2 linked regions of the Styela clava genome follow. Each later gene encodes a partner of the first gene's protein in a complex. Links are inferred from orthologs where the notes say so. Each region holds a gene or a part of one and is shown in the gene's direction. Other genes may lie near its edges.

Region 1 (7,118 bases):
AGAACGTGCTTTAGGGCTATGTGTCGATGATTTAGGGCCATCAACGTCAGACTTTTGAACCAATCGCGTAAGTGCACATTGAATTCTTGAAACTCGCGCAGTTCACACTGGAAAAATTCACTGACATTTCTTCGATCTTCTTCAGAACGTAAAGTACTCACATGAATTTCATGAGCATTTGAATACTCTGTGAACCGTTTGTCAATGTCAGCACTTTTCAATTTCAACAAATCTAGATTTTGGTAGTCTGACATAAGTCTCTCAGCATCTTGATATAATTCCTTCATACGAGCACGTAACTCTTCTAAATTTGATTTCGAAACAGATTCTGCATCTATAATGTACAATTACAGTGCTCTTCAAACATGCAACAAAAGTTTAAATATTCAACAGTACGATGATTTCTTCAATTTTGACGATTTACTGAACTCCTGTCGGCATTCGACGATACTTTATTAATGCAATACCAAACGTTATATGCAAATTTTGATAACTTTATTTGCGGAAATTCGATAACTTTAATGTAACAGCCGTTCTTTGTGACCTGGACGACACCGACTGCACACTAGATATTGGTGACCGTACATTTGAACCCATGTACATTTGAACCCATGCGTATATTCACAGGTTCAATCTATATGCGGGTGCTAAAACCCATGGGTTAGGGTTAGTATGGGTTTAACTATCCGTGAAACAAAAAAAATTCTATAGGTGCAATAGCATACAGGTGCAATTGTCATGGGTTCAAATGTACGTGGGTTCAAATGTAATGGAACCTAGATATTTATTAACAGTTCAATAACGCGGTCTTTCAAGCTCCAAGTTCGTATCCTCACTCCAGAAAATCACACAACTCGAAGTATACAGTTGACACGGTTATCTTAATACAAACGTAAAAACAAATCAATACAAAATACTTGTAATAAATAAATAATCGTACACAATTCGGCCTTTAGAAAGCCTACTCAAATTTATGAACACATTTAACAAACATTTTGTTGTCTGCTATTCCAGGCTTAAATTATCATAAGTAGATTAAGAAATCATTCGTCCATGAAATCCGAACAAATCAATTAAATAAACTATAACTGTAAAAACAATCACAAAGGCAATCTAATGCTCATAAAATATCCCTAAACTAGGCCTATGTGGGGCAGCCATAATCTACATTATTTAATCGTCCTACTGTCAAAACAGAAAGTCAAGGTCGCTGAACAATTTTAACTTATTTACAAATTACAACGAAACGAGCGCCATTCTCCTATAAAAGTAAAGCGCTATCTAAAACAAATTACCGAAACTATCCCTGTCTAAGCGAGACATGTCTGGGCAAGCAATTGCCACGAAGACTCTCACAATTGTTTCGTAACAAAGTGTGTAGAAGCACACTGTCAATCAAGGGAAATTACGGCGTCAACAATAACAAATAAATTACTACACAAGTTAAACGGACGCAATGTTTAAGTCAAAACAAAAATAAAGTGAATGCGATTCTCGATGTAACAGCCTGTAGATGCGTGTTTTGTGTACTATTAAGTATATATATTTTGGACATAGTTTAATATGAAATATATTCTAGATTCAAAAATATTTTTCAGAGTGATTCAGTTTCGAAGAAGTAAACAATAAATATTTTGCCTTTGGCCGGAATCAGAAATTTTACTTGGTACTATATAAATTTTGGTTTTGTTTCAGTAGGCGAAACTTAGTGATTGAAAAAAATCACGCCATTGTTATGGACCTTTCCCCGACCTTTGACCCTCGAAAAATTCTTCCTATACTTTACCATTGCAAAATTTTCAGGGCTATTTTAAGAGTGCTTTTGCAAGTTGGCGCCTGTAAAATGGGGTATGTGTTTCAAACCATCATTATGATTCATCGCATACAACAAACTGTTTTTTAAAAGTACCGGTAAAGAATTTCAGGCTAGTCTATCACAGCTATTTCTACAATGAAAATTCTACAACAAACTCCTAGGAAGACAGCGTGATCATTGAATTATCTGATTTTTATTTAAGTTTCCGAAACACAACTGAAAACTAACGAATAGAGTTCAAAAACGCGAAAACGAGGTAATGTTTACAACCAGCCTTGAAAATCTGTCTGAGTGAGAAAAGGGGGCATTGTTACGTCACTCTTCGCATCTTGCTGATTGGCCAATGTCACGAAATAAACAAGGAAGTCGATACTCGGGGAAAGGTCCATTGTTTCTTTTTGAACAGCACTCAAAGCCTGTATTTGATGTTTATGGCCTTTTAACAAAGAACTGTCATCATCAAAAATGGAAGTTTCAAAACTCATTTTCAATAGGTATAATCCGAAAGTAAAAAAATGAATTTATTTCAGATTTAATAATAGAAATCCAAAATATTCAACAAGTAAGTCTACAACGAAGAATTTTTAGATACAAATGGCCCCAAAGTGATTTTATGTTACCAATGCAGAAAAATTTTTTAGGGGATTTTTTGAAAAAAGATCTAGAATACTTTGGTTGAACATTGATTTTACCCAACCAGAGGTCAGATCTCAGAGGCAGCGTTGCATGGAGGCAGTTAATTCTACTTGTGAACCACCAAGTTTTACTTTCCAAAAATACCATGATAGAGCTCTAGCGTCACATCATATATTCTAGCAGTTCTCAACCTTTTATGGTTCGTGACCCCTTTCCGGCGCTTTTTTGCACTCGTGGCCATTCGCCATTCCAAAAAACCAAACGTGTTGGATTGTATTAAGTTTTTATTACCTTTTATGGAATGCAAAAGCAAACCACGGACAAGAAAGTATAAGAGCTTTCTAGTATACAATGAGTGGGAATCGCTCGGGACTGTCTGACGACTTACAGATAAGTTGCGAGTCGCAACTTGCGACAAATGAACTAGCAGTGAAGAAGCTTTCTTTCTTAGTAATGGGTAAAAGTAGTGATATGCCACTTCAAAGCTGCATTCAAAAGCGGGCTTATCCTCCGGCAGAAACCCTAACTTGGCCAATGTTGCTTTATTGTCAATCTAACTCGCTTGGCAGCCAAGAATCCGATATCAACGCTTTTACCCGGTGATGATTTTTGTCACGGTGGTTTTGGAGTTTAGATGGACTTAATGATTCATTGCTCTTTACATACGAGCAATGCAAGTATTGAGGACATTCTCGGTCATCTCGACTTACTTTTGTAAAGCCAAAGTAACTGTCGTTCCATTTTCGTATTTTGGGATTTCCGTCTATAATACGATAGCGAAGGTTATCTCGCAGTCTAGTGAAATTACAGGTTAGACGGCTTACCAGCGAACTATATTGGTAGATTTCATATTCCATGGACCTTTCCCCGAGCATCGACTTCCTTGTTTACTTCGTGACATTGGCCAATCAGCAAGATGCAAAATGTGACGTAACAATGCCCCCTTTTCGCATCCGCTCAGACACTTTTCTCACTCAGACAGATTTTCAAGCGTGGTTGTAAACATTACCTCGTTTTCGCGTTTTTGAACTCTATTCGTTAGTTTTCAGTTGTGTTTCGGAAACTTAATAAAAAATCATATAATTCAATGATCACTCTGTCTTCCTAGGAGTTTTAATTTAATTGCAGTAATAAAAATTAGTGTAGAAATAGCTGTGATAGACTAGCCTGAAATTATCTACCGGTACTTTTAAAAAACAGATTGTTGTGTGCGATGAATCATAATGATGGTTTGAAACACATACCCCATTTTACAGGCGCCAACTCGCAAAAGCATTCCTAAAATAGCACTGAAAATTTTGCAATGGTAAAGTATAGGAAGAATTTTCCAGGGATCAAAGGTCGGGGAAAGGTCCATTATGCTCAAACAATTCACGCACAAGAAAGTGAATACATATCAACCTATTCAGGCAATTAAACTGCGGTGAACGCCGCAGAGAATTTTATTATAAAAGGAAAATATGCAAACGAAATCGTTTTAGGGTCAATTATTAGCATTGTGTCGTGACCCCCTTAGGGGGGCACCAGCCTCCGGTTGAGAACCACTGATCTATTATAAACTAAAGTACGGTAGGTAAATAAATATGAATAGGCGTAGCACAGTGAGACTAAATATGGCAACTGAGGTTTCAAAGTAGTTCAAGGATCAACAGCTAAGGGACCTCCTGCGGCAGTCGGCGTCAGGCCATGGTTTACTACTGATTGGTCAGGCATGGAGATGCCGTGTAACGTGTGCTGGAAATTGGGTTTTAGTGTAGTACCGTACTGGTACCTAGAGTACTTCTAGTGGGGGTGGCATGACCATTTTTGCATAGGCTATGGGTTTCTTTAAATTACGGTACGTTACTACAACGTCACAATCACGTCATGTTGCAGGTCGGTTTTGGCTCCAGCCGACCAAGTCCATGCTTCGATGCATGTCTGCATGTGGAACCAGTAACTGGCCAACTAATCCCATACCGGTACCTAACCCACATCGCGACATGGACCGGTACGGTACTGTAACCGGACGTCACACGTCAGGACGTGGGCCATGGTTCGCCATATTTTTGTTCCGGCTTTTTCCCCCTCAACGCGGTAACGTCACACCAGACCTGCAGACCGGGCACTGGTACGGTACCTACTTGCGGTAATTCGAAATTTATCTTACTTGTCAAAATTTATCGCAGTTTGGTCATCAGTTCTGCAAATAACTTACAGATTATGGTTGTAATTAGGTTTGCAAAAGCTGTGAAAAACAATCCAAAAAAGTCTATTGCTGGTGCAATCGTCTTAGCATGGTTCGGAAAATGGGCAGAAAAAAGATACATAGCGCATCTTTTCAGAAGGGCTGAATGTCAAACAGCTGTAAAGCTTGGACAAAAAAGTTTACATGAACTTCAAGACGCAAAGCGTGTCACAGTTCTTTTGAACCCTGCTGCGAATGGTGGAAAAGCAAATGCTTTGTATGAGAAGTATGCAGCCCCAATACTACATCTTGCTGGTTATGATGTGCATCTGGTGAAATTAAACTATGAGGGAGAAGCTAAAAAACTTATGTCTGTTGTCAACAATGACATTGATATGATTATTTGTGCTGGCGGCGATGGAACTCTAAGTGAAATTGTCACAGGTTTAATGCGACGACCAGATTCAAATTGGAAGAAGATTCCTATTGGAATTATTCCTCTCGGCAAGAAAAATACAATGTGTAAGAGATTGATTCAAAATGCGGATCATGATAAACAACCTCATTTTATTTGTAGCGCAGCATCTGCCATAACCAGAAGTATACAAACGCCTGTGGATGTTATGAAAATTGATGGTTCGACTGGGAAAACTGTGTATGCTGTTTCAAGTATCAGTTGGGGCACCTATAGTGATCTTCAGGATAGAATAAAAAAGTTTTGGTTTCTCGGCCCTCTGAAATCATACATACCATTTGTTTTGTCTTTATTGAAGTCTGACCCTACAAAGCCAAGAACATTTTCTATATCATACACAGACCCTGAGGTTGTTCCTATTTCCCTAGAAGAAAATTGTGTGGAAAACAGTTCTGGCCTTTCGGTGTCTTCCCTTCTCTCCAAAATCTTTTACAGGTTCTGGCCTTGGAAATCAAAATCAGAGCCACTCATTGAACAAACTGCTGAGTTAATTGAAGAAAATTGGAATGATTTACCCAAAACAAGCATTGAGTTTTTTGCTCAAGCGAATAAGCATTTGAATTCTGAGGGAAGAGAGAAAGCCTCGATACAAGTACAGCTCGAGTCTAATAATGTGTCGTACACTGATTTTGTTACACATGGCCCATTTATATTCCAAAAGGGTGATCACCCATTTGTTAACACTGACTCTGATTTTGAAGTGGATAAATTAAAGTTATCATCACAATTATCTGATAATTACGAGCAACACATTAGTATTGATAATGATAGATATGAAGCAATGGATTTATCTGTCCAATTAGTTCCCAATTGCATTAACATGATTTGTTCAAAATAAAAAGGTTTCTGCAACGAATTAACTGTCTATCTAATCCATTACCCAACATGGACTGGTAACCGCACAAGAGGCCATGGTTCGCCACATAATTAAGCCATCCTTTCCCCTGATTTTCCACTCCCTTGGATTGATTTATAATGTCATTAATAGTTTAAAATTCCTGGTATTGTAGATTTACAATGAGGATGTTCCCTTTTTTCAAAATACAATACAATGTGCAACCCGATTCTAATAAGTTAATGTCGAACATAGACTAAGGTGGTATTTCAGTCCGCCCTTCATACTGCCTTATGAGGACTTTTTAATTAAATTAGCTTCAAAACAGACTGCCTTAACTCTTTCTGCAAATTTTTGTACTGCTCTTTCCTATTGTTTCGCGTAAATGAAATTCTTTCCAAGTCCATATGCTCCAAGTTAAAAACTCATGCTTTGGCATACTCTTTGATTTGGTATTGCCTGTTCCAGAACAATTTAACATAAAATGAATAGTACGGTTTTGAATCGAACATATAGTCTGCTTGAAAAGCGGGATAAAACTTTCAGTTTAAATTGTTCAGAATAAAATTATCCAATATTCCAAATACAGTCTCAATTACTGTTCACAAATACATTTTAAATTTGGCCATGTTTGATGAATATATATTTTTGTGAGAATTCCACTCATAAACCACCAAGTTTTACTTTTCAAACATACCATAATATAAATATCGAAAAATCAAATATTCACCATTTTCAAATTATAAATTCGTTCGAACATCCCAGTTCTCAACTGTTCTTCGTATAGGTAAATCGTTTGATTTTCAACAAAAAGTGCAGAGTTAAACAAATTTCCACTGACATTCTAAGAGCTATATTTAAGTAAAGGAGGTGGAAATATCAGTAGATAGTTGTTAATATTATACTTTAAATAATTCAACATTTTTTGTTTAATCGTTTTTTATTCTTCTCGAATGTTCAATTTTGTTACTACAATGAAACGCATAAGATCATATACCAGTATGGGGTATAAGAGATGTTTTGCTGTTAGTTTTTCATGTTCAGATTAAACGATCAAAACACTGATTTCTGTTTTTCGATCAGTATACGCTTCACTACAGGTAGATTTTATTTCGGTACACCGATGAACGCTCAGGTAGTTATAAGATTTCCAGTGAGTGAGTATGTCAATCGTTACAAGTTCCTGAAA
Region 2 (6,775 bases), on another chromosome or scaffold:
CGTGTCCACATATTCGAGCATAGCTCACTTGTTCTTATCCTTGTTCTTTGACACGTTTTAAAAAAATCGCTTTTCTCTTTGATTACTGGGCCAATTGCTTTGGAATTTTCAGTAGGTAAAGCTTGAATTTTTTTCTAGAAGGCTATTACTTTTATCAATTTCAAACAGCGTAACGTGTCCATATATTTGAGCATAGCTCTCTTGTTTACAAATGTGATTGAAATCCAAATGAATATTAAATTATACAATTTACATCACTACTGTAATGAAAGCAGTTGGAATGAATATATGTATTATTTACCACGATGATCTTGTACTTCTAGGTCGGTTGAAATTGAAATCCTTATAACCTTTTATGGAAAATACTTTTCCCTGTTTTGCGCCCCTGTTCAAACGGCGCCCATGGCACGAGCCATGGCTGCCACACCCTAGATACGCCGTTGATTGGAGTCATTCCTTATTGACGATTGTGTATCTCTCATCCATTTCAGTATGTATCAATCTCATTGCGGTATCAAATATTCAACAATATCCATTATTTTAAACAAAGCTGATGGACAACATGACCAGATATACATCGTGACCAGATATCACGCCACAAGGTAGACGAATTTTAACTTTGATGGCGTCATCGCACTCAAAAAATAAATAGAGGCCGCGATAGATATTCGGGACAATAAATATTACCCTGATTGAAAATTTAAACAAATATCAGTTTTATAAAATTTTAAAGAAAAAATAGAATGTCGAGGGCTGTCGATGTCCTGAGGCACCTGGGCTTCAGCCTACCTTGCCTAATGACAAACTCGGCTCAGTTTATTCAGGTTTGTAGTTTGCAATTACTCAACAACCATTGAAAAAACATTAGGCATATATACAGCAGATTAGAACAAAATACCCAAATTTCAGGGGAGCAAAACTGCAAACTCCTTTGTTGCTTTGACGTATTTATTGTTTTTCTTTCCAAATAAGAATCACATCTAGTCGAATCCACGAAGAATCGATTCCGAAGTCGATTCCGCATACAGTTTAACCGTATATATATACTACTACGGTTTAACGTTCTGAAACACGAGATGCTGATTTTAACAGAGAAGTATCACCTGCAAACAATGTTGAATAAAATGCAGAGGCCAAAAAGGTAGATCGTTTATGTAGCGTAAAAATACCAGCGGGTCAATCATAGTAACCTGGGAACTCCACATTCAATAAAGCTCATTTCAGAGATACAATATTTATTTTGAACATAGATTAGAAATATCTTATGCAAATCTGATGCAAAATGTTTTTTTGAGCTGTAGGTGGTTAGAACAGAATTTACATATGTATCTCGGGTAAAAGAATTATGTGGCGAACCACGGCCACAGTCGGTTATGGACTTAGTTAGCCACCTATTTGTTTCAAATGCGTGGAACTTGACGGTGGAGTAAGCCGTAACCGAGAGCGGTCACGCGTACCGAGTGGAAGTGGTGACTCATCTACGGCCCATGGGCCGGGATCACGGCCTATCGAATTGGGCCTCGGCCCATCAGGCTATGGGCCGCGGCCCATCGAGTTGTGTAACGGGACTATTCACCTGGCTAACACAGACAGTCCCCGAACTAATAATAGAACTATAATGTGAAAAATCTGAACTAAATTTTGTCCTAACCCTAACCTGGTACACATACTACAGGAGTATTCTTTTCTGTATCTTGGTATTTTGCTTTATTTTTATATAGAGGACTTGCACGGGTCACGTGACTTTGTTACTGGACGGCAATAAAACAAAAACGTCCATTTGGCTCCTGTCAGTTGCAAGTCGGATTATACGTTTCTGTTTTGTTTGACTGTTAAAAATGGTTATTTCGTATTGTTCCGTTGACTGTACGTATAGTATAGACAACGAAATGGATCTTCAGTTATATTCCATTGTTTTCAAAAGATCCGGAACGCCGCGCAATGTGGATATCATCTATTGGCAGGACTGCTTGGTGTCAAGTCCAGAAGCCATCTCACTTGTGTTTCACTGTTTGCGGACAGCACTTCGTTGATGGTGAGTCATCATGTGCCGTTATCAAATTTTCAAATATTCATAAGCTCTCTCATTTTAATGGAAAGCAGATGACAAACTACTGTTATTGGTAGGCCTAGGCGTAGGCCTACTTGCAGACTTGACTCGTGTAAGGTATTAATCAATAATTGCCATAAGGTATTGTTTTCCTAGTTAGCAGGTAATCTATCAGTAAGTGTGAAAAGTTGAATAGATAACTAAAGTTTAACGCCAGTGCTAATGCAAAAAATAACCAAAATTCAATTGAATTCTCTATCTAAGAATACGCTCGCCACCGCATCTCTGATCTCCCTGGGAGTTTCACAGGTTCCAATCCCATGCGGGGATAGTTATGTGCGAGGGATTGCAGCTCTCCTTCCACTGAGGATGGTTCCCACGACCGCTGGTCGATTACGACATCCCCCACCATCAAGTATATGCTTCTAAAACAAATAACTGGCTAACTAATCCCGACATAGAATGGTAATCGTACGATGTTGCACCTTGCAATCTGTCCCCCAACCACAGATAAATTCTATCCTGAAAACTACCCACATTGGTAGGCATAATTGCGTTTTAAATTGAAAGAAATCTTCATTATTGGTCAGAAGGTGTCCAGTTATTTGTTTTCAGAAGCATGGACTTGCATGGTGGGGAATGGTCGTAACCGATCAGCGGTTATGAGAACCACCCTCGGTGGGAGTAGAGCTGCAATCCTCTCTGGGATTGAAACCCAGGGTGATCAGAGATGTGGTGGCGAGCGTATTCCTAGATGGCGAATTCAATTGAATTCTGGTTATTTTTTGCGTGACCACTGGTGTTAAACTTTAGTTATCTATTCAACCTTTCACACTTAGTAATAGATTACCTGCTAATTAGGGAAACAATACCTTATAGCAATTGATTATTAATTCCTTACTGTCTTACACAAGTCAAGTCTGCAACTGCAAGTAGGCCTACTAATAACAGTAGTTTGTCATCTGCTTTCCATTGAAATGAGGGAGCTCGTGAATATTTGAAGAAATTGATAACGGCACACTATCACCACATTATCACTCACCATCAACGAAGTGCTGTCCGCAAACAGTGAAACACATGTAAGAAGGCTTCTGGACTTTACACCAAGCAGTTCTGCCAATGCAATAGATGATATCCACATTGCGCGACGTTCCGGATCTTTTGAAATCAGTGGAATATACCTGAAGATCCATTTCGTTGTCTATACTATACGTAAGGCCAACGGAACAATACGAAATAACAATTTTCAACAGCCAAACAAAACGGAAACGTATAATCCGACTTGCAACTGACAGGAGCCAAATGGACGTTTTTGTTTTATTGCCGTCCAGTAACAAAGTCACGTGACCCGTGCAAGTCCTCTATAAAGGCTTATCGTAAAAAAAAAATTTGGCGGCATACCGCGTTTTTTTTTGGTTCGAATATTGACAATTTTGTGAAAATTGAGAATTTTGGTAAGATAATTGAATTTTTTCTGATAGGGCCGCGGCCCATAGCTTGATGGGCCACGGCCCATATGGCCCAATGAGATGGGACGTAGAGGAGCCACCACCCATGTAGCGCGTACCACCCTACCTCGGCCAGGTGTCCAGCAAACCTCTCACACCTAATTAGCCCCCACCGGATGTGAACCCGCGTGGGGTAATCAGAGGTGCGGTGGTGAGCGTATTCCAAACGCTTAGTCGCTACATCGCCGAGCCGGTTTCTAATATAATTTACGAAACGGACCTTGAACCCGAGCTGAAAGCTCCATGTGACTCCTAACACACACACACATGCGGACTGCCGAAATTCAAGAAGGCGTCAGTCTGTCATAGAATCAGCTGTTGGTTTTCAAGATAGCACTGTAGCACTGCTTTCAGGAACTTCAGGTTCCTCTTAGGGTAAATTTACTAGTCGGTAGGATAAGACATTCTACCACGCTCACGTAATTTTTGGATGACACAGTGAGGTGGAGGTTAGGATTGTCAAATTGTTGTAAATTACTTGCAGACTTGAGGTACGCGCGCCGCGGTGTGGCTCAACCAATGGGCTAAGCTCTGGGAATACGCTCGCCACCGCACCTCTAATTACTCTGCGTGGGTTCGCAGGTTCGAATCCCATGCAGGGATGGTTATGTGCGAAACTTGTAATTATCAGATCACATATGACAAGCGTTGAAATATGAGACCCCGAATACAAAATAGGTTGAAATCACCTTGGGTTGTTATGACAAACCTCGGGGTTATAAGTTATTGCGTGCGCAGCACCTCATTCCTAATCTACTAATAAATTATAGCTCAGTTTTAGAAACAGGTTGAATTTAGGAAATAATTGACACAAACAACAATGATTATTTCCACGCACCTATTGCTATTGGTATCAAAGGTTACACCACAATGTTCATTTTCTATAACCATGCACAAAATTTGCTTCTCTATTGCAGTATTGTGACGTTTTATTTGCGCTCCTAATTTCAACCGTTGATGAGATTAAAAGGGAGCTTGCACAATAGCGGTTCGGGGTTTTTTGGCAGACCTGCAAAAGTTAAGAACTGCAAAAGATCGAGCTGATTGCGAGGCGGAGTGCATTACTTGCGGCTACAGTTTCTCGTTGACAAGAATGCATTATTGCATTGTCGTCACATCGACTATTGTCGCCTCTACTTTTAATTCTAGAGAATTTAGTAGATATATAACGCGTATATCTCAGGCACAGGTGGAATATGGTTCTACCAAACGATGTGTCCTCCTTTTAGGATTTGGACATATGGTCACCCTAACGTAACCGCTGGTCGGTTACGGCTTCCTCCATCACCAAGTCCATGCTTCCGAAAACAAACAATATAACTAATCCCATACCCGACTTTCAATAATAACCGGACGAGAGGCCGTGGTTCGCCATATGGATAAGCCGTCTTATCGACTTTCCTCTCCCCCGGGATAAATATGTGAATCCTATCCTACGGTTTGACATGACCTGCTTAGTTGGAACATGAGTCGGTTTGATTTAACTAAACACATCTGTCAAGAATTTCATTTAACTGACTTGAAAAAAAAACATGGAAACTTCATTTTGTTTGACGTTATTTTAAGGAGTTACAGCGATTGCTTCGCTAGACCCCTGCATTTTGAATATTTTGAGTTTTGTCATCTCTTTCTAATGCTAATATCAATTTTTTATATTTATGAGAAATCGAAAAAGTTTTAAATAATCCTGTGAAGTAGAATACCTATGAATCTATTGTTTGCCTAGTTCAGTACTTTATCGATTATTACAATCTGATAATTGTGATGGCAGCATTGAAGGTTCGTGGTATTGGTGAAAGGTTGAAAACATCACTCAAGACTGCTATTGTCGATTATAGAACTTCAGCTCTAGAGTCTTTGCAATATATGAAGGAAAACCCAGGTAAAACAACAATGTATACAGGATTATTGCTATTTGGAATCCGACTCAATCGGACAATGCCGACCGAAACCGAGTTTTATGCAAAGCTTGTAGACAAGTCTAATGAAATTGTATTATTGAATGATAAAACTCGAAACAAAGAATCAGATGAACACATTCAAAAAGTTTCTGGATATTTTGCAAAGGGACGAATTCGCCATCAAAATTTAGTGATTTTCTCTCTAATTTATTATACTGATTATGACGTAACTAATAAGCATTATGAATCGCAATGTAAATTTTTACGTCCAAAATGGAGGGAATTTCATAATCGAATAGTGGATATTGGTTTATATCGACGATGGTGGGTGCTGAGATACCATACAACAGACTATGATATAAATTTTGAAGAGTTTCCAAAAGACCTTGATTCCACATGGGCACAAATAAAAGACTTTTTCAACAGAATATTGGAAATTTCATATTTTGGAAATCCTGCTATTCCTTTATCTGAGCAAAGAAAAGTTAGAAAAGCAATTGAAGTTGTTGAATAGAATACATACTGGTATTTTGTCTTTTTTCAATCACCTATTAAAATTGTTTAATTCACTACAAGGTATTTAAACTTTTATGTGGTTAAACATCAATAAATTCATCAGTTCTGAGGTCATAAATTTGTTTCTTTTTATTTGTTTGTTATGGTTTTCATAATGTTTTGAACTACGCGGAGTAAAAATTTGTAATTAATTGCTTAGCTTTTGTTTTTTCCAAGCATTTTTTATCTGGTATCCAGTTTGTTAGTCTACATTTAATTCAATGTCATTTATTGTTTAGGTTTACGTTAACAACATTCTAGTTATGTCTTCCAACACCAATCCACTGACCCGTAAAAAAGGTCATCCTCGAAGTATAAGAGTAAAAGTAATTAGCATGGGCAATGCCGAAGTTGGTAAAAGCTGTTTAATCAAGCGATACTGTGAAAAGAGATTTGTAAATAAATATCTGGCGACTATTGGGATTGATTATGGTGTCACAAAAGTACAAGTAAATGATAAAGAACTGAAAGTAAATATTTTCGATATGGCAGGACATCCCTACTTTTACGAAGTACGAAATGAGTTTTACAAAGACACACAAGCTGCAATTCTTGTTTATGATGTAACAAACCGTGTCAGTTTCGAATGCCTTGAATCATGGTTACAAGAAATGCGGCAAGAAATTGGAAAACCTCAAAAAATGGACAATGTGATATTTTTTGTTTGCGCTAACAAAACTGATAAAGGTAACAGAGTGGTTGATACAACAGAAGGAAGATTATGGGCAGATGGAAAAGGTTTTCATTATTTTGAAACATCA

What was found. Proteins that work in one complex are often made in the same cells at the same time.
Region 2: the proteins of acylglycerol kinase, mitochondrial-like (region 1) and mitochondrial import inner membrane translocase subunit Tim29-like are in contact, whole or in part, in a cryo-EM structure (PDB 7CGP), measured with the Homo sapiens proteins. The link is inferred for Styela clava from reciprocal best matches to the Homo sapiens genes AGK and TIMM29. Residues at the interface, in NP_060708.1 of Homo sapiens: His33, Asn36, Arg39, Arg40, Cys43, Gln44, Gln47, Asn51, Lys82, Pro86, His89, Leu90; in NP_612367.1 of Homo sapiens: Tyr145, Gln146, Cys149, Arg150, Tyr151, Leu152, Gln153, Arg155.

What each region holds. Positions count from the first base shown.
Region 1 is NC_135253.1:879,068-886,185, reverse strand, and holds acylglycerol kinase, mitochondrial-like, read left to right. Parts: upstream 1-4,105; 5' UTR 4,106-4,654; coding exon 4,655-5,932; 3' UTR 5,933-6,994; downstream 6,995-7,118. UniProt on the Homo sapiens protein: Lipid kinase that can phosphorylate both monoacylglycerol and diacylglycerol to form lysophosphatidic acid (LPA) and phosphatidic acid (PA), respectively. Does not phosphorylate sphingosine. Phosphorylates ceramide.
Region 2 is NC_135262.1:15,093,544-15,100,318, reverse strand, and holds mitochondrial import inner membrane translocase subunit Tim29-like, read left to right. Parts: upstream 1-4,999; 5' UTR 5,000-5,322; coding exon 5,323-5,973; 3' UTR 5,974-6,231; downstream 6,232-6,775. Other genes in the region: dnaJ homolog subfamily C member 27-like, read left to right, coding at 6,278-6,775. UniProt on the Homo sapiens protein: Component of the TIM22 complex, a complex that mediates the import and insertion of multi-pass transmembrane proteins into the mitochondrial inner membrane.